Xenopus tropicalis: one gene and its partner. The protein of the gene in region 1 interacts with the protein of each later gene in a pairwise test. Links are inferred from orthologs where the notes say so. Each region holds a gene or a part of one and is shown on either strand. Other genes may lie near its edges. The genes, in order: nelfb and nelfe.

Region 1 (11,644 bases):
TCTGGGGTAACCTACAACTCCCAGCACCCCTTGCAGCCTGAAGGCTCCTAAACTCAAAGGCTCCTCCCTATGTCTGGGGTAAACTACAACTCCCAGCACCCCTTGCAGCCTGAAGGCTCCTAAACTCAAAGGCTCCTCCCTATGTCTGGGGTAAACTACAACTCCCAGCACCCCTTGCAGCCTGAAGGCTCCTAAACTCAAAGGCTCCCCCCTATGTCTGGGGTAAACTACAACTCCCAGCACCCCTTGCAGCCTGAAGGCTCCTAAACTCAAAGGCTCCTCCCTATGTCTGGGGTAAACTACAACTCCCAGCACCCCTTGCAGCCTGAAGGCTCCGAAACTCAAAGGCTCCTCCCTATGTCTGGGGCAAACTACAACTCCCAGCACCCCTTGCAGCCTGAAGGCTCCTAAACTCAAAGGCTCCTCCCTATGTCTGGGGTAAACTACAACTCCCAGCACCCCTTGCAGCCTGAAGCGCCTAAACTCAAAGGCTCCTCCCTATGTCTGGGGTAAACTACAACTCCCAGCACCCCTTGCAGCCTGAAGCTCCTAAACTCAAAGGCTCCTCCCTATGTCTGGGGTAAACTACAACTCCCAGCACCCCTTGCAGCCTGAAGGCTCCTAAACTCAAAGGCTCCTCCCTATGTCTGGGGTAAACTACAACTCCCAGCACCCCTTGCAGCCTGAAGCTCCTAAACTCAAAGGCTCCTCCCTATGTCTGGGGTAAACTACAACTCCCAGCACCCCTTGCAGCCTGGAAGCTCCTAAACTCAAAGGCTCCTCCCTATGTCTGGGGTAACCTACAACTCCCAGCACCCCTTGCAGCCTGAAGGCTCCTAAACTCAAAGGCTCCTCCCTATGTCTGGGGTAAACTACAACTCCCAGCACCCCTTGCAGCCTGAAGGCTCCTAAACTCAAAGGCTCCTCCCTATGTCTGGGGTAAACTACAACTCCCAGCACCCCTTGCAGCCTGAAGGCTCCTAAACTCAAAGGCTCCCCCCTATGTCTGGGGTAAACTACAACTCCCAGCACCCCTTGCAGCCTGAAGGCTCCTAAACTCAAAGGCTCCTCCCTATGTCTGGGGTAAACTACAACTCCCAGCACCCCTTGCAGCCTGAAGGCTCCGAAACTCAAAGGCTCCTCCCTATGTCTGGGGCAAACTACAACTCCCAGCACCCCTTGCAGCCTGAAGGCTCCTAAACTCAAAGGCTCCTCCCTATGTCTGGGGCAAACTACAACTCCCAGCACCCCTTGCAGCCTGAAGGCTCCTAAACTCAAAGGCTCCTCCCTATGTCTGGGGCAAACTACAACTCCCAGCACCCCTTGCAGCCTGAAGGCTCCTAAACTCAAAGGCTCCTCCCTATGTCTGGGGTAAACTACAACTCCCAGCACCCCTTGCAGCCTGAAGGCTCCGAAACTCAAAGGCTCCTCCCTATGTCTGGGGCAAACTACAACTCCCAGCACCCCTTGCAGCCTGAAGCTCCTAAACTCAAAGGCTCCTCTCTATGTCTGGGGTAAACTACAACTCCCAGCACCCCTTGCAGCCTGAAGGCTCCGAAACTCAAAGGCTCCTCCCTATGTCTGGGGCAAACTACAACTCCCAGCACCCCTTGCAGCCTGAAGGCTCCTAAACTCAAAGGCTCCTCCCTATGTCTGGGGCAAACTACAACTCCCAGCACCCCTTGCAGCCTGAAGCTCCTAAACTCAAAGGCTCCTCCCTATGTCTGGGGTAAACTACAACTCCCAGCACCCCTTGCAGCCTGAAGGCTCCTAAACTCAAAGGCTCCTCCCTATGTCTGGGGCAAACTACAACTCCCAGCACCCCTTGCAGCCTGAAGCTCCTAAACTCAAAGGCTCCTCCCTATGTCTGGGGTAAACTACAACTCCCAGCACCCCTTGCAGCCTGAAGGCTCCGAAACTCAAAGGCTCCTCCCTATGTCTGGGGCAAACTACAACTCCCAGCACCCCTTGCAGCCTGAAGGCTCCTAAACTCAAAGGCTCCTCCCTATGTCTGGGGTAAACTACAACTCCCAGCACCCCTTGCAGCCTGAAGGCTCCTAAACTCAAAGGCTCCTCCCTATGTCTGGGGTAAACTACAACTCCCAGCACCCCTTGCAGCCTGAAGCTCCTAAACTCAAAGGCTCCTCCCTATGTCTGGGGTAAACTACAACTCCCAGCACCCCTTGCAGCCTGAAGGCTCCTAAACTCAAAGGCTCCTCCCTATGTCTGGGGTAAACTACAACTCCCAACATCCCTTGAGCCTGAAGGCTCCTAAACTCAAAGGCTCCTCCCTATGTCTGGGGTAAACTACAACTCCCAGCACCCCTTGCAGCCTGAAGGCTCCTAAACTCAAAGGCTCCTCCCTATGTCTGGGGTAAACTACAACTCCCAGCACCCCTTGCAGCCTGAAGGCTCCTAAACTCAAAGGCTCCTCCCTATATCTGGGGTAAACTACAACTCCCAGCACCCCTTGCAGCCTGAAGCTCCTAAACTCAAAGGCTCCTCCCTATGTCTGGGGTAAACTACAACTCCCAGCACCCCTTGCAGCCTGAAGCTCCTAAACTCAAAGGCTCCTCCCTATGTCTGGGGTAAACTACAACTCCCACCACCCCTTGCAGCCTGAAGGCTCCTAAACTCAAAGGCTCCTCCCTATGTCTGGGGCAAACTACAACTCCCAGCACCCCTTGCAGCCTGAAGGCTCCTAAACTCAAAGGCTCCTCCCTATGTCTGGGGCAAACTACAACTCCCAGCACCCCTTGCAGCCTGAAGGCTCCTAAACTCAAAGGCTCCTCCCTATGTCTGGGGTAAACTACAACTCCCAGCACCCCTTGCAGCCTGAAGGCTCCTAAACTCAAAGGCTCCTCCCTATGTCTGGGGTAAACTACAACTCCCAGCACCCCTTGCAGCCTGAAGGCTCCGAAACTCAAAGGCTCCTCCCTATGTCTGGGGCAAACTACAACTCCCAGCACCCCTTGCAGCCTGAAGCTCCTAAACTCAAAGGCTCCTCTCTATGTCTGGGGTAAACTACAACTCCCAGCACCCCTTGCAGCCTGAAGGCTCCTAAACTCAAAGGCTCCTCCCTATGTCTGGGGCAAACTACAACTCCCAGCACCCCTTGCAGCCTGAAGGCTCCTAAACTCAAAGGCTCCTCCCTATGTCTGGGGCAAACTACAACTCCCAGCACCCCTTGCAGCCTGAAGCTCCTAAACTCAAAGGCTCCTCCCTATGTCTGGGGTAAACTACAACTCCCAGCACCCCTTGCAGCCTGAAGCTCCTAAACTCAAAGGCTCCTCCCTATGTCTGGGGTAAACTACAACTCCCAGCACCCCTTGCAGCCTGAAGGCTCCGAAACTCAAAGGCTCCTCCCTATGTCTGGGGCAAACTACAACTCCCAGCACCCCTTGCAGCCTGAAGGCTCCTAAACTCAAAGGCTCCTCCCTATGTCTGGGGTAAACTACAACTCCCAGCACCCCTTGCAGCCTGAAGGCTCCTAAACTCAAAGGCTCCTCCCTATGTCTGGGGTAAACTACAACTCCCAGCACCCCTTGCAGCCTGAAGCTCCTAAACTCAAAGGCTCCTCCCTATGTCTGGGGTAAACTACAACTCCCAGCACCCCTTGCAGCCTGAAGGCTCCTAAACTCAAAGGCTCCTCCCTATGTCTGGGGTAAACTACAACTCCCAACATCCCTTGAGCCTGAAGGCTCCTAAACTCAAAGGCTCCTCCCTATGTCTGGGGTAAACTACAACTCCCAGCACCCCTTGCAGCCTGAAGGCTCCTAAACTCAAAGGCTCCTCCCTATGTCTGGGGTAAACTACAACTCCCAGCACCCCTTGCAGCCTGAAGGCTCCTAAACTCAAAGGCTCCTCCCTATGTCTGGGGTAAACTACAACTCCCAGCACCCCTTGCAGCCTGAAGGCTCCTAAACTCAAAGGCTCCTCCCTATATCTGGGGCAAACTACAACTCCCAGCACCCCTTGCAGCCTGAAGCTCCTAAACTCAAAGGCTCCTCCCTATGTCTGGGGTAAACTACAACTCCCAGCACCCCTTGCAGCCTGAAGCTCCTAAACTCAAAGGCTCCTCCCTATGTCTGGGGCAAACTACAACTCCCAGCACCCCTTGCAGCCTGAAGGCTCCGAAACTCAAAGGCTCCTCCCTATGTCTGGGGCAAACTACAACTCCCAGCACCCCTTGCAGCCTGAAGCTCCTAAACTCAAAGGCTCCTCCCTATGTCTGGGGTAAACTACAACTCCCAGCACCCCTTGCAGCCTGAAGCTCCTAAACTCAAAGGCTCCTCCCTATGTCTGGGGTAAACTACAACTCCCACCACCCCTTGCAGCCTGAAGGCTCCTAAACTCAAAGGCTCCTCCCTATGTCTGGGGTAAACTACAACTCCCAGCACCCCTTGCAGCCTGAAGGCTCCTAAACTCAAAGGCTCCTCCCTATGTCTGGGGCAAACTACAACTCCCAGCACCCCTTGCAGCCTGAAGGCTCCTAAACTCAAAGGCTCCTCCCTATGTCTGGGGCAAACTACAACTCCCAGCACCCCTTGCAGCCTGAAGGCTCCTCCCTATGTCTGGGGTAAACTACAATTCCCAGCATGCCCTGTAGGCATCATTAGCACCAAGGGCCCCTCCTACTACCCCACTGCGGGGCAGTTTCGCACCTGAAACTGCTCAATAGCCTTCAGGGGCTCAGTACAATTGGTCAGGGTCTCCTTCAGCTCCTCCCCATTGGCGACCCCCAGTTCGGACAGGCCGGCGAACATTGTCCCACAAACAGGCGGCTGTTTCCTGTCAGTACCGGAACCGTCGGAGCCCAGAGGCATCGCCCCGCCCCCTGAGCGCTATTTAAAACTCCCGCAGTGCCGCTACTGTGTCGGTCCCGGCCGGACAGCCAATCCAAGTCTCTTCTCGCGAGATTTCGGCGTTACGTAGCACGTATGAGGGCACGTAGGCAGCGCGTAGCCGACGGGGGGCGGGTCCGTACGGAGTAGGATTACGTCATACGCATAGCGGTTGCTAGTAAAGCGCGGGAATGTGCCATACCAGCTTGGCGCTTTTTTCCGCCAAATTGGGCTACTAATTTAAACCCCGGGCGGGTTTCCCAAGTACAAACCCGCCAAGGTACAGATTTGGGCTATTTTTTGTTTGTAGTTTGGAAACTAGCCACTAGTAAACCTGACATGCCTGACCATTGCATGCTGGGTAATGTAGTTTTTATTAAACATTTAGACTACAGCTGGGATTGATTTAAAACTACAATACCCAGCATGCCATCGGACAGTATAGACAGAGGCTCCCATTTCTGTTCTATTCAGGCTCAAGCTGTCTGCATGGATGTGCTATAACTTTCTAATGGGATGTGGTTGGGGGGTGGCTGCCATTTGTTACTTTCTGCAGTTGATCCCTAAGCTATAAATTTCAGGATTGGGGCTGCTGGGAGTTGTAGTTCAACGCACTCATATGTATATCATGTCTGGGGTTAATGCAGCATCCTGATTTCTGTAGTTACTTCCCGGCTGGACTGGGCCCAGAGGGAATTACCAGCCATCCCAGTAACTGGGCACAGAGGGAATTATCAGCCATCCCAGTAACTGGGCCCAGAGGGAATTATCAGCCATCCCAGTAACTGGGCCCAGAGGGAATTACCAGCCATCCCAGTAACTGGGCACAGAGGGAATTACCAGCCATCCCAGTAACTGGGCCCAGAGGGAATTATCAGCCATCCCAGTAACTGGGCCCAGAGGGAATTATCAGCCATCCCAGTAACTGGGCACAGAGGGAATTACCAGCCATCCCAGTAACTGGGCACAGAGGGAATTATCAGCCATCCCAGTAACTGGGCCCAGAGGGAATTATCAGCCATCCCAGTAACTGGGCACAGAGGGAATTACCAGCCATCCCAGTAACTGGGCACAGAGGGAATTATCAGCCATCCCAGTAACTGGGCACAGAGGGAATTATCAGCCATCCCAGTAACTGGGCACAGAGGGAATTACCAGCCATCCCAGTAACTGGGCCCAGAGGGAATTACCGGCCATCCCAGTAACTGGGCACAGAGGGAATTACCAGCCATCCCAGTAACTGGGCACAGAGGGAATTACCAGCCATCCCAGTAACTGGGCCCAGAGGGAATTATCAGCCATCCCAGTAACTGGGCCCAGAGGGAATTATCAGCCATCCCAGTAACTGGGCACAGAGGGAATTACCAGCCATCCCAGTAACTGGGCACAGAGGGAATTATCAGCCATCCCAGTAACTGGGCACAGAGGGAATTATCAGCCATCCCAGTAACTGGGCCCAGAGGGAATTATCAGCCATCCCAGTAACTGGGCACAGAGGGAATTATCAGCCATCCCAGTAACTGGGCACAGAGGGAATTATCAGCCATCCCAGTAACTGGGCACAGAGGGACTTATCAGCCATCCCAGTAACTGGGCACAGAGGGAATTATCAGCCATCCCAGTAACTGGGCCCAGAGGGAATTATCAGCCATCCCAGTAACTGGGCACAGAGGGAATTATCAGCCATCCCAGTAACTGGGCCCAGAGGGAATTATCAGCCATCCCAGTAACTGGGCCCAGAGGGAATTATCAGCCATCCCAGTAACTGGGCACAGAGGGAATTATCAGCCATCCCAGTAACTGGAGACGGGGAGCAGGGCTTGGGTAGGGATTATATGATTTAAAAAGGCAGGTTTTCCCATATATACTTTTAATTTTTTTAGAATTTTTGGTGGAACATACTGATATTAATGTTTTATGGGGGTATTTTTTGTCAGGGTCCCAGTGAGAGAGCAGGGGCTAATTCAGGAGAAGGTAATGTGTGAAAATGACCGAGTTATATGGGGATTTAGGTTCTTTTTATATTTCATTTTGAAATGTTACATGGGGCTAGTCATATTTTTTATTTCCCTGGGTACCACAGCCATGTGACCTGTGTTCTGATAAACTTCAAGCACACTTTACTGCTGCGCTGCAAGTTAGAGTGATATCCCCCCCCCCCTCACCCCCAGCAGCCGATCAGCAGAACAATGGGAAGGGAGCAAGATAGCAGCTCCCAGTAGGTATCAGAATAGCACTCAATAGTAAGAAATCCAAGTCCGGCTTGGGACTCCTCCAGTTACATGGGAGTAGGAGAAACAATAGGTTAGCTGAAAGCAGTTCTAATGTGTAGCACCGGCTCCTTCTGAAAGCCATGGGAAGGGAGCAAGATAGCAGCTCCCAGTAGGTCATTTAACCATTAAATAAACCCAATAGGGCTGTTCTGCCCCCAATAAGGGGTAATTATATCTTAGTTGGGATCAAGTACAGGTACTGTTTTATTATTACAGAGAAAAGGGAATCATTTAACCATTAAATAAACCCAATAGGGCTGTTCTGCCCCGATAAGGGGTAATTATATCTTAGTTGGGATCAAGTACAGGTACTGTTTTATTATTACAGAGAAAAGGGAATCATTTAACCATTAAATAAACCCAATAGGGCTGTTCTGCCCCAATAAGGGGTAATTATATCTTAGTTGGGATCAAGTACAGGTACTGTTTTATTATTACAGAGAAAAGGGAATCATTTAACCATGAAATAAACCCAATAGGGCTGTTCTGCCCCAATAAGGGGTAATTATATCTTAGTTGGGATCAAGTACAGGTACTGTTTTATTATTACAGAGAAAAGGAATCATTTTTAAAAATTAGAATTATTTCTTATAATGGAGTCTATGGGAGATGACCTTCCCATAATTCGGAACTTTCTTGATAACGGGTTTCCGGATAAGAGATCCGATACCTGTATTTGAATTTTTAAGTTTTTTTTTTATTTGAAGACACAGAAGTTTAAAAATATACTTATTTGAAAGACAAAAAACAAACAAACTTGCACTGAAGTCACATTCTAGCCTTTATTTTCAACAAGCCAAGTGTCCAAATGAATTTTGAAAATACAATTCTCATCGACTTCTACATGGATTGGCAGGGTTTTTAATAATCCCTAATTTCAGAAACTTGAATTTGTGATTTTTGCCGCAAAAACGTGAAAAACGTTACATGGTGATGAATCCGCCCCTTGATTTTAGGCCCCGTAGGGTTTTAAAATGTAATTACTGAGAGTTTACGAAGGCCTAATTTTCATTTCGGAACGTTTGTAGGAATAGTTGTGCCCTCTGCCTCCGTACCAGTTGATCCCCTCGGCCGTATTGCTGTGACTTCCTAACAAGTACAACCCATTCAGGTTTGAATGATGGCAGCCGTTGTACCACCATCCTCCCTTATATCTATCGGCACAGTGTTCCGGCAGTATGTCGTTGTCTTGGTCCTTGGTGGAAAATGGCATGGTGTTGTGAACCTTCATAGCATCCTCTGAAAATAAGAGAAACATGACGTTACACACAAGCTCGAACGTAATTCCTCTCCATCTGATTATTAATGATATTTTTGTAAAGGGGTGGGTTACCCTAAAGTTAACTTTTAGGGGCAGACTTATCAAAACACGAGTTCGAATCCCGAATGGGAAAAATTCGGATTGGAAACGAAAATTTCTGAAGATCGTAAATATCCCGAAAATGCTTACGAAAAAAATCGTATTAGTCACGATAATATCGTATTGGCGATCCGAAAATCACTAAATTTTCGTACCGAACGATTGTAAACAGCTGCAAAACCGATCCGATTTATTCGTGCTAAAAATACAGAAAAGTCGCGTATGCGTCGATATAGTCGCACAAGGTACGAAAAAGTCACGTAAAATACGATTGGACCGATCGAACAATTGGAGCGTTCATGGATAAGTAAATATGCCCCTTAGTATGTTATAGAATGGCCAATATTAGGGGGGGGGGCATTTATCAGTACGATTGCCTCCGAATACAAAAAATACGTTTTCGTACCTTGCTAATTTTCTCAACTTTTTCGTACTGTGTGGCAAAAATTTCGCAACAAAATTGGATTTTTTCCACAACGAGTACGAAAGTTTCGGATTGAGTCCAAATAAAATATGAATTTTTGTATCTAATTTATAGAACGGTGCGTATTTTCTGAGATTTTCAAGCTAATCTGCGCAGCTTTTCTGTACTGTGCGGAAAACATTACGTGACAAAATCGTATTGTAGCAACGAGTACGAAAGTTTCAGGTTGAGTCCGAATACAAAAAGTTTGTATTTTATCTAATTTATAGAACTGTGCGCATTTCCTGAGATTTTTTTGCGCTAATTTGCGCAGCTTTTTCGTACTGTGCGTCAAAAATTACGCGATAAAATCGGATTGCCGCAACGAGTACGAAAGTTTCGGATTGAGTCCGAATACAAAAAATTTGTATATTGCAACAAAGAGAATTAATACTGTTCACTTACCTATATTACCCCCCTTCATGGCTCCAATTAATAACTTAAATTTCTCTGACTCCCCCAGAATCCGGAAGGATTCGTATTTAGCGAAGTGCTTTGCGTTCTCAAAGTCTTGTAGATCAACCCTCAGTTCCCATGTACCTTTAAAGAAACAAAAAGAAGCAAAAAGTGACTTTGTTTCAATGGAATTAATAGAGAGAAAGTTTATTCAAAAACAAAAATTCTAAAACCTGTAACATATTTGAAAGTCACTTTGCAGTAACCGTTTCTTTGATTTCTGAACCAGGCATGAAAAAAATATAAGGTACGGAGGGGGCACCTGCAGGACCCCTGGGGTGGGAGCCTCGGTGGGCCCTGCACCCCCCCAGTCCGACCCTGGTGACCGGGACCGTTTCAATTGTTCTGGGTTTTGGGTTACTGATCGCGACACACGTAACTTTTGTTTACGTGAAAATTTTTTAAGCATGTGCTTCTATTTAACCCTTCCATAGCCCGATTTCTACAAGCAAATTAGGATTTGGATTTGGTCCGTTATTCGCCCGAATCTTTCACGAAGCGTTCCGGCTTTGGCCAAGTCCAAAAATAACAGATTTGGTGCATCCCTACAATGCTAGAAAAATAGATCTGAGTAATAGTTTTGAATAAATACACCGCTATATGGTATAGCGTGGTACCAAGTCACGTGTAAGATTCTTGGGGTGTTTGGCCAAATTTTGACAATGAAGGCAAACTACATGTAAAAACAACTGCGTGTCTGGAACCCAGAAATGACTACTGACACTAGCCTAACTCCTCATTGAGATGGGAGTAACCTTGCAAGGACTGGTCTTTAATGAAACCCTTAAGAACTCTAGAACTTTCTGCTGTGATGCCCACAGGGACCAATGTACTCTTTAGAGAAAAGGCAAAAACAAGGAGTAGCAAAAAGGTCAGGACATGTGGCAGACGATTGTGGTCACGGACAATCAAGAGTCAAATACCAGAAAGGTCAGCTAAAGCAGGGGTCCCCAACCGCCGGGCCGTGGACTGCTTGGCACTGGGCCGCCAATGTTCCCCCGGAGCACACAGAGAGGCGGACATGTCGTAAGCAAGAATGTGCGAACGAACGCGATGCGCGCATAAAGGTGCAAATAAACGTGAGACCGCTCCTGCCCACCCCGGTCCGTGGAAAATTTTTTCTCCTTGCAACTGGTCCTTGGAAAAATAAAGGTTGGGGACCCCTGAGCTAAAGTATTAACGCTTGAGCAGGATCTGAAAACAAGAAGCCAACTTGGGCAACGGGACAAACAAGAAAAGGTCCCAAATACATGTACTGTGTGTACCCCCAGATACACAGGAATGCACTGCTAAAAAGTAGAAAGAAGGGAGCGTTGGTGATGAGGAGCATCTGAACCCATGCAAAGTGGTCTTGGAGACACCTGCTCTTGGTGCACATCAACCAAGTTGTGATTTTGAAATGAAAAACCTGCATCTCCTTAATACGTATTTGAAATGAGATAGACATTACCTGATGAGGTTAATTTGTGAAGATTATCATTCCCCAGCCAAAACTCATTCAGCCTGCTGCCAAACCCTGACTTGTAGGACTTCCAGTCACGAAAGAAATCCACGGAGCCATCCCAACGTCTTTGGAAAACCTACAGTAACGCAAGATGAATCCAAGAAAAATGGTTTATTGAGTTGATACAATGGTTTTTATCAAGATAGCTAGTGTGTTTGTCTGGTAGGTAATTATTTACGTAAACATCCCCAAATCAAATACAATTTATCCTACTTCTAAAGGTGCCCATACACCTTCAGATCCACCAAGCGAGCGGATCTTCAGGCTAATTCAGGCTAATTCGATCTTTTGGACCTGGGGCCAAACGATCAAATTATAACGACGAGTATAGGCAAAGTCAGTCCGGGGACCGCATCAACGAGCCGATGCGGTCCCCGATCCGACCAGATTTTTTTAACCTGCCCAATCGATATCGATAATGGCCCGATTAGCTGCCAAATATTGGCAGCTAGAATCGCCCCGTGTATGGGGACCTTAACATTTAAAAAGGGACTGCATTGTGTGTGACTAACAACTGTGAGCAGATATCCGTGTATGTATAGATATGACATTAATAACAGCTAATATATTAAGGTGGCCATACATGGGCCGATTCTAGCTGCCGATATGGGTCTCTTAGACCGATTCGGCTGCTTATCGGCCCGTGTAGGGGCCTGCAATTGGCCAGATATCGATTGGGCAGGTTAAAAAATTTAGTCAGATTGGGGACTGCATTGGCTCGTTAATGTGGTCCCCGAACCGACT
Region 2 (11,644 bases), about 70 Mb from region 1:
GCAAAGATTTGAGACAAGGACAGACAATGAAAAAGGAGAGAAAGAAAGGTGGAAAGGAACAGAAAGGAAATGAGAGAAGTGACATTGTTTATCAACACAAGAGAAATTTGCACCAGGCAGTAACCCATAGCAGTGGCATCAGTGATTAACTTTTTTTTCAGCTGGCTGCTGACAGAACAATGCAAGAAAAAAATTGACTGGTTGCCAATTACAAATTTGCCCAGTGTTAATAAAAGATTACCACTGCCACAAACAAGTAGGCATAGGAAAATACAGCAGCAGCTACACGAAGATAAAATGTTTAAGCAGAAATGCACATTACAACTAGAGTTGTGTACTAATCAACTGCAGCAACAGAGGACTCGGTGACAAAGTGCAGTTTACCAATCCAGGAACCCCGATCCTTGAGCATGTGCTTATATACCAAAGCTTTCAAGACCAGTATCACATGGGGCCCGTGATCTCCACCTAGACTCATGGTTTTTCAAGACAGGAAGAGAGACTGCCTCATACATGCCAGTACTCTAGATTTATTTACACCCAAAGAGCACACACATCAGGAATATGAGGAATAACAGCTGGAATACACCTCTCATCCTAATTACTACTGTCTCTAAATTATATTGCCTTATTTAAAGAGTATTAAGTCCAACCTCAAACAGTATGGCAACCCCTTTTTCATGTATCCTGACCCATAAAATAAGAACCCCTGACTTTAACAATAGTGTAATTAACATGATATAAAAGTGATTGGCTCTGCTGAGGCACTTTCCAAATACTTCATGAGAACCACACAATTGAAAGGTCATAAATTAAAGGAGATGTACAACTGAAGTCTATGAAAAATTCTCTACCTAGGCAACATAGCAATTCCCACTAAATGAACAGAAAGTGCATTCTTAAAGTGCACCACAAATAAATATTATGAAAGTTAGTATAAATAACTTTTTTTTAATATCTGACAGTGCCACAGTAGGTGTCGAACTGGCCCCCAGGGATTCCAGTAAAACTCCTGGTGGGCCCAAAAAAAGAATAGATTATAGTACATAAAGATAAAAAAACACTAGGAAAATATAGAGGGTGAGAGAGAAGTGGGTGAAAAATAGTTTGAAGGTTTTTTTCTGGGCCCCTGGCATCCCACTCTGACACTGGCCACAATGGTTTTTTAGTTTCCCTTTAATGACCAGATTTGGTGTGTACCCGTTTATACACACGTGTGTGTGTGTGTGTGTGTATGTATGTATGTGTGTGTGTATGTATGTATGTATATATATATATACACACATACACACACACACACACTTTTTTCCCCTAAGTCAGGGCAGAATGGCAATCACATCCTCTGCCATTACCCTAATAGATGAAAATAAGAAAATTCGGCACGTTATATTTACAGCAAACAGAATAGTTGAGCTCTGCAATAGAAGGGCCACTCTGCAGAACCCGATGAGTGCCAAGCTGGCAGCTGTGCGGGGCACGCATATTCTAAAACGTAAACCACACTCGCTACAGATCCCTCACAAACCACGCCTATCCTCCTCCACTTCCATTCATTAGCTTGACACTTCACTCACAATTTCTCAAATTTGACTCTCCTACCCCACCTGTACTATATGGAGCACTGTCCTGTCCAGCACCTGTCACGTGACCGTAACGTCATGGCGAGTCTTGTTCCTGTCTCGGATATTACTGAGGGGCCGGGACTAGTGTTTCCATTTTTTTATGTGACGTAAAAAGAACGCGACCGACTTTACAGAGAGGTAAATAAACAGGTTGTTGTGTGTTTTTCGTTTCAAACATAGTAGAAATGTGTCTAATGAGTATTTTTTCAGTTCGAACCTGTTGGTATTTGGGAGCTTTGGAAACGTGAATGTTGAACAATGTAGGGCCAAGCCTTCCAAATGCGCACCGATCGGGGACTTCGTATTGCATTTGCCATTGCAACAAATTGGCGGGTCTGGTAGGGCTTCACGTTCTTGCAGTTGTCAGTCGGAACAACAAGGATAATGGAAGTTGTGTTACCTGAATATGGCATCTCCTGCCATGAAGTATGGGGAGGGGGGGGGGGCTACCTAATGTTGGCCAGACTTTTAAATGTTTTGTCATATATTAAGTGATTGTACCATTTTATGTCATTCCTACTGCATTTATCCGTCTGAAGAAAATATTCGTGCTAAAAAGATTTTATAGTTTTGTTGTGTCCATTAAAAGATAGAAATTGCCTGACAGCTGTGTTGCAGTAACTGCAAGCTGCTTTTTAATACCTCCCACCATGCAACCTACTTTCATCTCTCAGTCTCAACCATGGAGAGATTTTATCTATTCCCAACCAAGATCTTCTTTCCCATCTGATTGATTAGTAGGACAGTGTTGCTCGGATAGCCTCCTGGCTGGTAAAAAATGATGTTTGAAGCCAATGTTATTAATAAGAAAAAAAAGATAACAATATGGCAAGGCCAGAATGCTTTTTTTTCCCAGAGATGGTGGCAACCCTAGATTTTGCTGATTATTAAAGTGTATGATTGTTTCTAGTTACTGGATCATCCTAAAATCACTCACTACTTGTTTTTAAATTTTTCTGTGTGACTAGCTTAGGTTGGTAAAGGAAACATCACTTGTTATGCATAACACTTATTGTGAAGGTAAATTCAACTTTTGTTACAGTGTTGTATGTACAATAGACAGGCCTTTTACCTTAACACTTAATAAGTGTGTGTGGATATTTAGTACTAATTGTTCAATATTAATAATATTAAAAAAATAAATAAATATATATATATATATATATATATATATATATATATATATATATATATATATATAGTTTTAAACCTTGTTCAGCAATATGGATGTCATTGAATTATTATCTACATAGATGTGTCAGGCCACTGGAGAGATGTGGGTTGAATATGCTTGTGACAAGTAATGTATTTCATCATTGTTATATTAAGCTGAGATTTGGACATAAACTATGTTGTATATTATATGTAACATCTGTTTGTATCAATATTTATCTACAGAAGTACCCCTCTGTGCAAGCATCATGGTCCTGCTACCAACCAGCCTTACAGAAGAAGAGGAGGCTTTGCAGAGGAAGTTTGCAAAGCTGAAAAAGAAGGTAAAGACTCTATGGGGCACATTTACTAATCCACGAACGGCCGAAAAGCGTCCGAGTGCGTTTTTTTTGTAATGATCGGTATTTTGCGTTTTTTTCGTCGCCGTCCCAACTTTTTTGTGAATTGTCGCAAATTTTTCAAGCGCTCAATACGAAAAAGTAGAGGCAATTCACGAAAGTCGTAACGGCTACGAAAAAGTTGCGACAATTCGCGAAAGTCGTAACGGCTACGAAGAAGTCGCGACAATTCACGAAAAAGTCGTGATGGCGGCGAAAAAATCGCAAAAGATACGAAAAAGCCGCAAAATGTTCGTTTCCAATCCGATTTTTTCTCATTCGGGATTTGGATTCGTGGATTAGTAAATCAGCCCCTAACTGTTTAAAATAATAAGTTGTTGCACTACAGCAGGTCATTGTGTATGTGACCTTGCATTGTTGGATTAATAGTATTGTGTATAGTACTGTATGTATTGGTTAAATTACATTTAATGTTTAGGAAGACAAATTACATGATAAAAACACATATAAACACATAACTGCAAATTGTCTTAAAATACTAGTATCCTATTTTCATCATACCTGAAGTTAGTTTTCATGAGAACATCTCCTTTAAATAGAGGTTTGGAGGGCTAGGTCCATGTATATTAATGTATTTTGTGTAATAGTGGTGTGAAAAACTATTTGCCCCCTTCCTGATTTCTTATTCTTTTGCATGTTTGTCACACTTAAATGTTTCTGCTCATCAAAAACCGTTAACTATTAGTCAAAGATAACATAATTGAACACAAAATGCAGTTTTTAAATGAAGGTTTACATTATTAAGGGAGAAAAAAAAACTCCAAATCTACATGGCCCTGTGTGAAAAAGTGATTGCCCCCCTTGTTAAAAAATAACAACTGTGGTTTATCACACCTGAGTTAAATTTCTGTAGTCACCCCCAGGCCTGATTACTGCCACACCTGTTTCAATCAAGAAATCACTAAAATAGGAGCTACCTGACACAGAGAAGTAGGCCAAAAGCACCTCAAAAGCTAGACATCATGCCAAGATCCAAAGAAATTGAGGAACAAATGAGAACAAAAGTAGTTGAGATCTATCAGTCTGGTAAAGGTTATAAAGCCATTTCTAAAGCTTTGGGACTCCAGCGAACCACAGTGAGAGCCATTATCCACAAATGGCAAAAACATGGAACAGTGGTGAACCTTCCCAGGAGTGGCCGGCCGACCAAAATTACCCCAAGAGCGCAGAGACAACTCATCCGAGAGGCCACAAAAGACCCCAGGACAACATCTAAAGAACTGCAGGCCTCACTTGCCTCAGTTAAGGTCAGTGTTCACGACTCCACCATAAGAAAGAGACTGGGCAAAAACGGCCTGCATGGCAGATTTCCAAGGCGCAAACCACTTTTAAGCAAAAAGAACATTATGGCTCGTCTCAATTTTGCTAAAAAACATCTCAATGATTGCCAAGACTTTTGGAAAAATACCTTGTGGACCGATGAGACAAAAGTTGAACTTTTTGGAAGGTGCGTGTCCCGTTACATCTGGCGTAAAAGTAACGCAGCATTTCAGAAAAAGAACATCATACCAACAGTAAAATATGGTGGTGGTAGTGTGATGGTCTGGGGTTATTTTGCTGCTTCAGGACCTGGAAGGCTTGCTGTGATAGATGGAACCATGAATTCTACTGTCTACCAAAAAATCCTGAAGGAGAATGTCCGGCCATCTGTTCGTCAACTCAAGCTGAAGCGATCTTGGGTGCTGCAGCAGGACAATGACCCAAAACACACCAGCAAATCCACCTCTGAATGGCTGAAGAAAAACAAAATGACGACTTTGGAGTGGCCTAGTCAAAGTCCTAACCTGAATCCTGTTGAGGATGACCTTAAAAAGGCGGTTCATGCTAGAAAACCCTCAAATAAAGCTGAATTACAACAATTCTGCAAAGATGAGTGGGCCAAAATTCCTCCAGAGCGCTGTAAAAGACTCGTTGCAAGTTATCGCAAACGCTTGATTGCAGTTATTGCTGCTAAAGGTGGCCGAACCAGTTATTAGGTTCAGGGGGCAATTACTTTTTCACACAGGGCCATGTAGGTTTGGATTTTTTTCCTCCCTAAATAATAAAAACCCTCATTTAAAAACTGCATTTTGTGTTTACTTGTGTTATCTTTGACTAATAGTTAAATGTGTTTGATGATCAGAAACATTTTGTGTGACAAACATGCAAAAGAATAAGAAATCAGGAAGGGGGCAAATAGTTTTTCACACCACTGTAAGTGAAAGAAATCACTCACAAAATATGTGTACTAGGGGCTTTCCCTAATTGCATTAGTAGGAAAGTGCATACTTCAAACATACTGGACCTCTAATATATTAAAATATATTAAGTATAGTTTACCTTTTAAACAATCAAATATTAGTTTCTATATGCATTTTATAGCATTTGTCCATACTCTCACCCCAGCATTACCCTGTGGTCCAGCACAGTAACCAGTATGGTTTTATAGGATAGAGTAAAATGCACACTGTGCTTACTACAACCAATGCCCAGCTTGAGTGACAGATCTCACTATGGTCTCACTGTGGTTTAGTGCAGTTTAGCTGGTTGGATTATGGGACAGTGCTGGGCTGGGAAGTGGGTCAGAGACAATTGTGCAAAAAGAAGCTGCCTATTTTCTGCCTCTGATACTGATATGGTCATGCCATTTTAGGAATTTAATAGCTGTAATGAGGGCATGGAACTTTTTTTTGGGGGGGGGGGGAGTTGAGTATTCTCCTTTGAATGTATCTCTCGTGAGCACAATGTACACTTGTACTGTTTAAGCTCTACATCCTATACTAGTATATAGAAATTCTTAAAATCTGAGAGAAAATTGTAGCAGTTTTATATTGCATTTGAACAATAGCATGGTTCTTGAATTTTTAACAGGCTAAAACTACTGGCTCCACGTAGTTGCTACTCTTCTGTTTTTGTTTCATTCTTGCAGAAAAAAGCCCTTCTTGCTTTAAAGAAGCAAACATCCACGAACCAGACAAGCCAGACGGGAATAAAAAGATGTAAGCTGACCCAACTGTCCTACTACCAGCACATAATACATAATATTCAGTGTTTGTTTTTTTTATCATTCTGTATTCTCTGGCTCCTTGTGACTTATCTTTTATTTTATCTCTTCTGTAGTTGTTGTTTCTGTTGTTTACCATTTATATTTCATGACTTTATCCTATTAATCCACCTATTTTCCCCCTGTTTCTGGTTTACAAACACATTTTTTTTCTCAGCCCTCTCAGACCAGCCTGCAGTTGACACAGCTACAGCTACAGAACAAGCAAAGATGTTGGTGAAGACTGGAGCAATCAGTGCTATAAAGTCAGGGACAAAAAACAGTGGCTTCAAACGTTCTCGTACTTTGGAAGGCAAACTCAAGGTTCTCTTTCTTCACTTTGTCAAATGAAAGCTATTTTTGTAAATAATTTTTCCAGTGCTTTTTCCGTATTTTATAACTGCTAATAAACTATTTCTACATTTTGTAACAACCAATGTTTTTTTCCCCTTATATTTATTCAGGACCCTGATAAGGGACCTGTTCCAAGCTTCCAGCCTTTCCAACGTAGCGTTTCTGTGGATGAGGAACAGGCAGAGGTAACTGGGCCACAAATAAAATGGAAGAATTTATTGAGAGTTACATGGTGTAGCACATTAAATAATAAATTCCTCATTTCTTATACAGAGTTCCAGAAGGTCTCAGAGAAAATCACTCTATGAAAGGTAACAAGAAAATTCATGTTTCACAGCATATTTACACACTTGTCATTCACTTGTCTATGAATCTTTTCATTCATCCAGGTCATGATATACAGTATCTAGTAGAATAAAGTCTAAAACAGTTGGACTTTTTCTGACTTTGTTCCGAGTGGCTTCTTTAGTTCAAATGACTGGTAGGGAATATTGGACTGTGCAATAGTTATCAAAGAGGGGGACCTGGATATTGACGTATACAGAAAATCCACCCACAAAGATCAGTACTTGCTGTTTGATTCCCACTACCCTTTGGAACATAAACTGGGTGTTATTAGGACTCTACATCATTGGGCTGAAAATGTGGCATCCTATGCAGAGGCTAAAGAGAAGGAATACAAACATCTAAAAGGAGCACTGAAAACTTGACTGGGCCTTTATCAAACCTAAATTAAAGACAAGCAAAAAGACCAGACCAGCAAACAGAAGGGAGGAACACAGCAGGTGAAGCAATATAGTCAGCCCATATGTTTCTGGAACATCAGAAAAACTTAGGAGAATTTTCAACAAACCTCACATTCCTGTGTATTTCAAACCCAGCAACACTTAAAGTTGGTGCACTCTGAAGACCCTACACCAAAGCACATGAAAAGTAATGTGTTCTATGCTGTCCAGTGTAGTGAATGAAGAGTGCTCTGATTTATACATTGGGGAGACAAAACAACCTCTCTGTAAGGGAATGGCCCAACATAGGAGGGCTAACTACTCAGGTCAAGACTCAGCACTAGTAAAGTGCATATTTTGGAATGAGAGGACAGATGGTTTGAAAGAGGCCATTTATGCTAGCCTGGAAAAACCATCCCTGAACAGAGGAGGGGACCTGCAACACCAATTGTCATCAACATACAATATCGCTTTGACATCCTTACCCCGGCAGTTTCACAACAGTTCACACTTCCAGTCATGTACTTTGAAGGATTAAAACCTGCATCAATGAGAATCATGATACCATTGTAACTGGATCATACCTTCTTACACCTGTGAGTTTCAGCCAACACTTAACTGAAGTTCAATGGAACCATTATGATTGGATTCTCTAGGGTTTAAATGCTGGGGAATTCCCAACCAGTCAATTGAACTAAACCACTCGGATGAGTTTGTGAAAAAACTTAGAAAAAGTCCAGTTGTTTTAGACTTAATTCTACTAGATACTGATTGTTATTGACTTGTGCCAACGTTGGATGCCTCCTTGTGCCAACGTTGGATGCAGCTCTGGCGAGGATGAGATACTATAAACTTCTAATTTGATACATGAGTTGATACATTTTCTTATTTTTTGTCCTGCTGAGAATAGTCCCTCAGATTTATTAATTGATACAATAGTTGCTAATATTCTACAGATGCTGATGTATGAACTAATATAGTAATTAGTTACTAACATAGCAATTGCTAACAGTTCAAAGTATGCACCTGGATTACTGAGCTTCTAGACTTAACCTATCACCCTGTAATTGGTTCCCCCATCAGAGGTGCAGGCTAATAGGCCCAGCATTTTGGTTGGGGAAACCAATGTTTTCCTTTTTTTTTTTTTTTTTTTTTTTAAAATACAGCCCCCGCCATTGCTAGGCTGCCCACACTGAGAGGGAGCTTCCAGAGTGGGTGGCCGCATCGTCTGCTGCGCATGCACATAATGAGTATGTCTCCCCACTCACTCATTATGCGCTTTTGCCTGATGTAGGATTGGTGGATGTGATTCACCCTCCTACGTCACACATGAGTTGCGAGTTTTGGCATCCACTCATTATGCACGTGCGAATGCCACAACATGGCTGCCAGCAGCTATTGTTTCTCTTAATCAGAGTGCAGGCTCTATTAGCCTACACCTTTGGTGGGGTAACAATTTAAGGGGGGTAGGTGTCCTTTAAACACCAGAGAGAGAGAGAGAGAGACAGGAAAGTTTAAACTTCAGTATTAGAAAAAGAGAACAAAGTACAGAGTAAAGATGTATATATTTTTATAAACTACTTCTGTGTTATTCTACACTAATTAGTAGAGATAGCACAATAATTTTCTCTAGTGTGTTGAACTGTGTATAACTATTTAGAAATTTGGCTCATTAGAATGAGTAAATCTTTTAATCCAGATTTATTTTCTTATGTACTTCTTTTGTACCTTTTCCTTCCTAATTTTTTTCCCCCCTCATTCTAGTTTTGTCAGCCCGAGTGAGCGAATGAGAGATCCTGAGAGAGAAAGCGAGGAACGAGAGAGTGAGAGGGATACTCGTCGAGGAGAGAGGGAACTTTTAGAGAGAGAACCTTATGATAGAGATCGTGGAAGAGAGCGAGATCGTGACCGGGACAGAGAACGAGATAGAGACCGAAGTGAGAGAGACCGCGAAAGAGATCGTGAAAGGGACAGAGATGGCTTTTACCGCAGTAATTTGCCACTTTTTTGATTTTTACTGAAGCAGAGGGCTGGAATTATAGCTCTGCTATTCATCTTAGCTTCCCTTTGCCTAACTTCCTTACCAGGTCTTCATTTACTAATGATTTAACCAGTGCCTTTGTCATGCATCCTGTAGGATCAGATTCATTCCCTGAACGTCGGGCTCCAAGGAAAGGTAATACTGTTTATGTTCATGGTGTGGGCATGAACCAGACAATGCTTCGTGAGGCTTTTTCCAGCTTTGGGAACATTATTGATCTTTCTGTGGATGCTCCAAGGAAGTAAGTAGGCACTGTATGGACCTTACTAGTGTGCTTTTAGGCTGGCAACCTTTTAATTTTGGGGGCCTTTTATTCCCAGCTGTGCTTTTGTTACATATGAGAAGATGGAGTCAGCTGACCAGGCTATTTCAGAGGTGAGTTTTGCTGCATGGTTTCCTTTTACTGCCTCCTTTATTCCATTTGATACTGCTATTCTTTGTCATTGTCACTTTGGAGTATTAAACACATAGAACTGAAAAAATGGGATTTTGTTGTTTTTTTTTAAGCCGTTTTTGTTTTCTCAGATTTTTAGAAAATAAAGATTGGGCTCTTTATTTAAACAGCAAGGCTTCTAAAACTGTGCTATGCAGTGTTGTATGCTTCACTAAATGTTTGCTATAATTATCTGCTTGATTGTTTGCTATGATAAGTGTTGGAGGCCTTAAAGGAACAGTAACACCAAAAAATTTAAATGTCTTAAAGTAATTAAAATATAATTTACTGTTACCTAAACTGGTGTGTTTGCTTTAGCAACACTATTATATTTTATATAAATACCCTGCTGTGTAGCTACAGGGGCAGCCATTCAAGCTGGAAAAAAGGAGAAAAGGCACAGTTTTTATAACAGATAAGACACCATTGTATTCTACTGAGTTTATCTGTTATCTGCTATGTAACCTGTGCCCTTTCTCCTTTTGAATGGCTGCTCCCATGGCTACACAGCAGCTTATTTATATAAACTATAGTAGTTTTTCTGAAACAAACACACTACTTTTACCAGTGCAGGGAAATAGTACATAATATAATAATTATTTTGATACACTTTCATTTTTTGGTGTTACTTTTCTTTTAAAAGTATATCAAACAGCTATACTTTGAGAAGTTTAACCTCATGCCCCTATTGGGTCAAATTCCTTGAACCTCTGTAAAATTTGTTCTCACGTCTGAACTGAATTCTTCTTCTTCTAATTCAGCTTAATAACAAGGTGATAGAAGACATACCAGTGAAGGTTAGCATAGCTCGCAAACAGCCTATGTTGGAGGCAGCCACAGGAAAATCAGTTTGGGGTTCATTGGGTAAGTTGTAACTTTATATGTAAATGTTTCTCTTGCAATTTCTCTACAAATATAGTCATAAGGCTGCAGAGCTACATTATGGACTGCTGGTGAAAGGGACAGTACCAGCATGATATTGCTTTTACAAGGCAAGCTGTAGAAGGCAAGAATCTCTGCAAACCTGTAGCACCCGGTGGAGGTGGAATGTGGACTGCCTATTTACACTAAAGGGCAATTCAGAAGTTAATAGTGCAACCACATGGGTGCTCTGACAGCACAGGCAAAACAAAGAAGACTTAACCAATAAGAAAACTGTCCCCTTCTGCCCTGGATTGGTACTTAACATTATATAGTAAAATGTCACAGATTTATCTTCTGTTTTTCTTTTCCTTCACAGCTGTACAGAACAGTGTTAAAGGTTCACACAGAGATAAGAGGTCTCAGGTCAATTACTCTGAAGATTTATTTAGCGATGGTCAAACTGATGCTGATAAAAAGCCAGGATAAAGAGAAGCGAGGAGAAAGAGAATATTAGGGCCCAAGATCTCTATGTGTACATGGTACACATGGTTGAGGATGGTAAATAAAGTGACCGTTGACTATTTAAAGAAACAAGACTGTGCTTATATGCTATGCCCAAGATTTTTTTTTTTTAACTATAATTTAAAATGGCTTTTCAGTTATTTGTGGATATGTAGGTTACTGTTTGCATTGTCCCTTTAAATATGTACTCTACATTCCTGTAATAATGATTTAGTGACTACTTTCTACTAATTGGCTTTATCTCAGTTGTTTTGGGCACATTTACCATCTCAGCATGCATAGAGTATGCCAATAGACACAAGGAAGGTAAATAAAATTACTTGTATAAGGTACAACAGGAGGTATTGGGACCCAAGTTATTTCTTGAGTATCACAGTAATGGTATATGTTTTGTCACATGTAACAGCCTAAATTATAGACAACCTTAATATAACACTTTCCATTTCAAACTGGAGACTTGCTAGAAAAACTCACACACTCAACTATATTT

The links.
Region 2: the proteins of nelfb (region 1) and nelfe interact in binary tests that used the Homo sapiens proteins (3 or more experiments, as listed by UniProt). The link is inferred for Xenopus tropicalis from reciprocal best matches to the Homo sapiens genes NELFB and NELFE.

Annotation. Positions count from the first base shown.
Region 1 is NC_030684.2:4,116,939-4,128,582, reverse strand, and holds the start of nelfb (negative elongation factor B), read right to left. Parts: upstream 4,809-11,644; 5' UTR 4,767-4,808; coding exon 4,665-4,766; intron 1-4,664. Other genes in the region: fcn2l (ficolin-2), read right to left, coding at 8,109-8,356, 9,346-9,480, 10,847-10,976. UniProt on the Homo sapiens protein: Essential component of the NELF complex, a complex that negatively regulates the elongation of transcription by RNA polymerase II.
Region 2 is NC_030684.2:74,052,695-74,064,338, reverse strand, and holds nelfe (negative elongation factor E), read left to right. Parts: upstream 1-1,724; 5' UTR 1,725-1,760; intron 1,761-3,020; 5' UTR 3,021-3,043; coding exon 3,044-3,118; intron 3,119-6,101; coding exon 6,102-6,171; intron 6,172-6,393; coding exon 6,394-6,539; intron 6,540-6,679; coding exon 6,680-6,754; intron 6,755-6,842; coding exon 6,843-6,880; intron 6,881-9,058; coding exon 9,059-9,305; 3' UTR 9,306-9,431; coding exon of another isoform or gene 9,432-9,576; 3' UTR 9,577-9,655; coding exon of another isoform or gene 9,656-9,710; 3' UTR 9,711-10,529; coding exon of another isoform or gene 10,530-10,632; 3' UTR 10,633-11,008; coding exon of another isoform or gene 11,009-11,118; 3' UTR 11,119-11,491; downstream 11,492-11,644. UniProt on the Homo sapiens protein: Essential component of the NELF complex, a complex that negatively regulates the elongation of transcription by RNA polymerase II.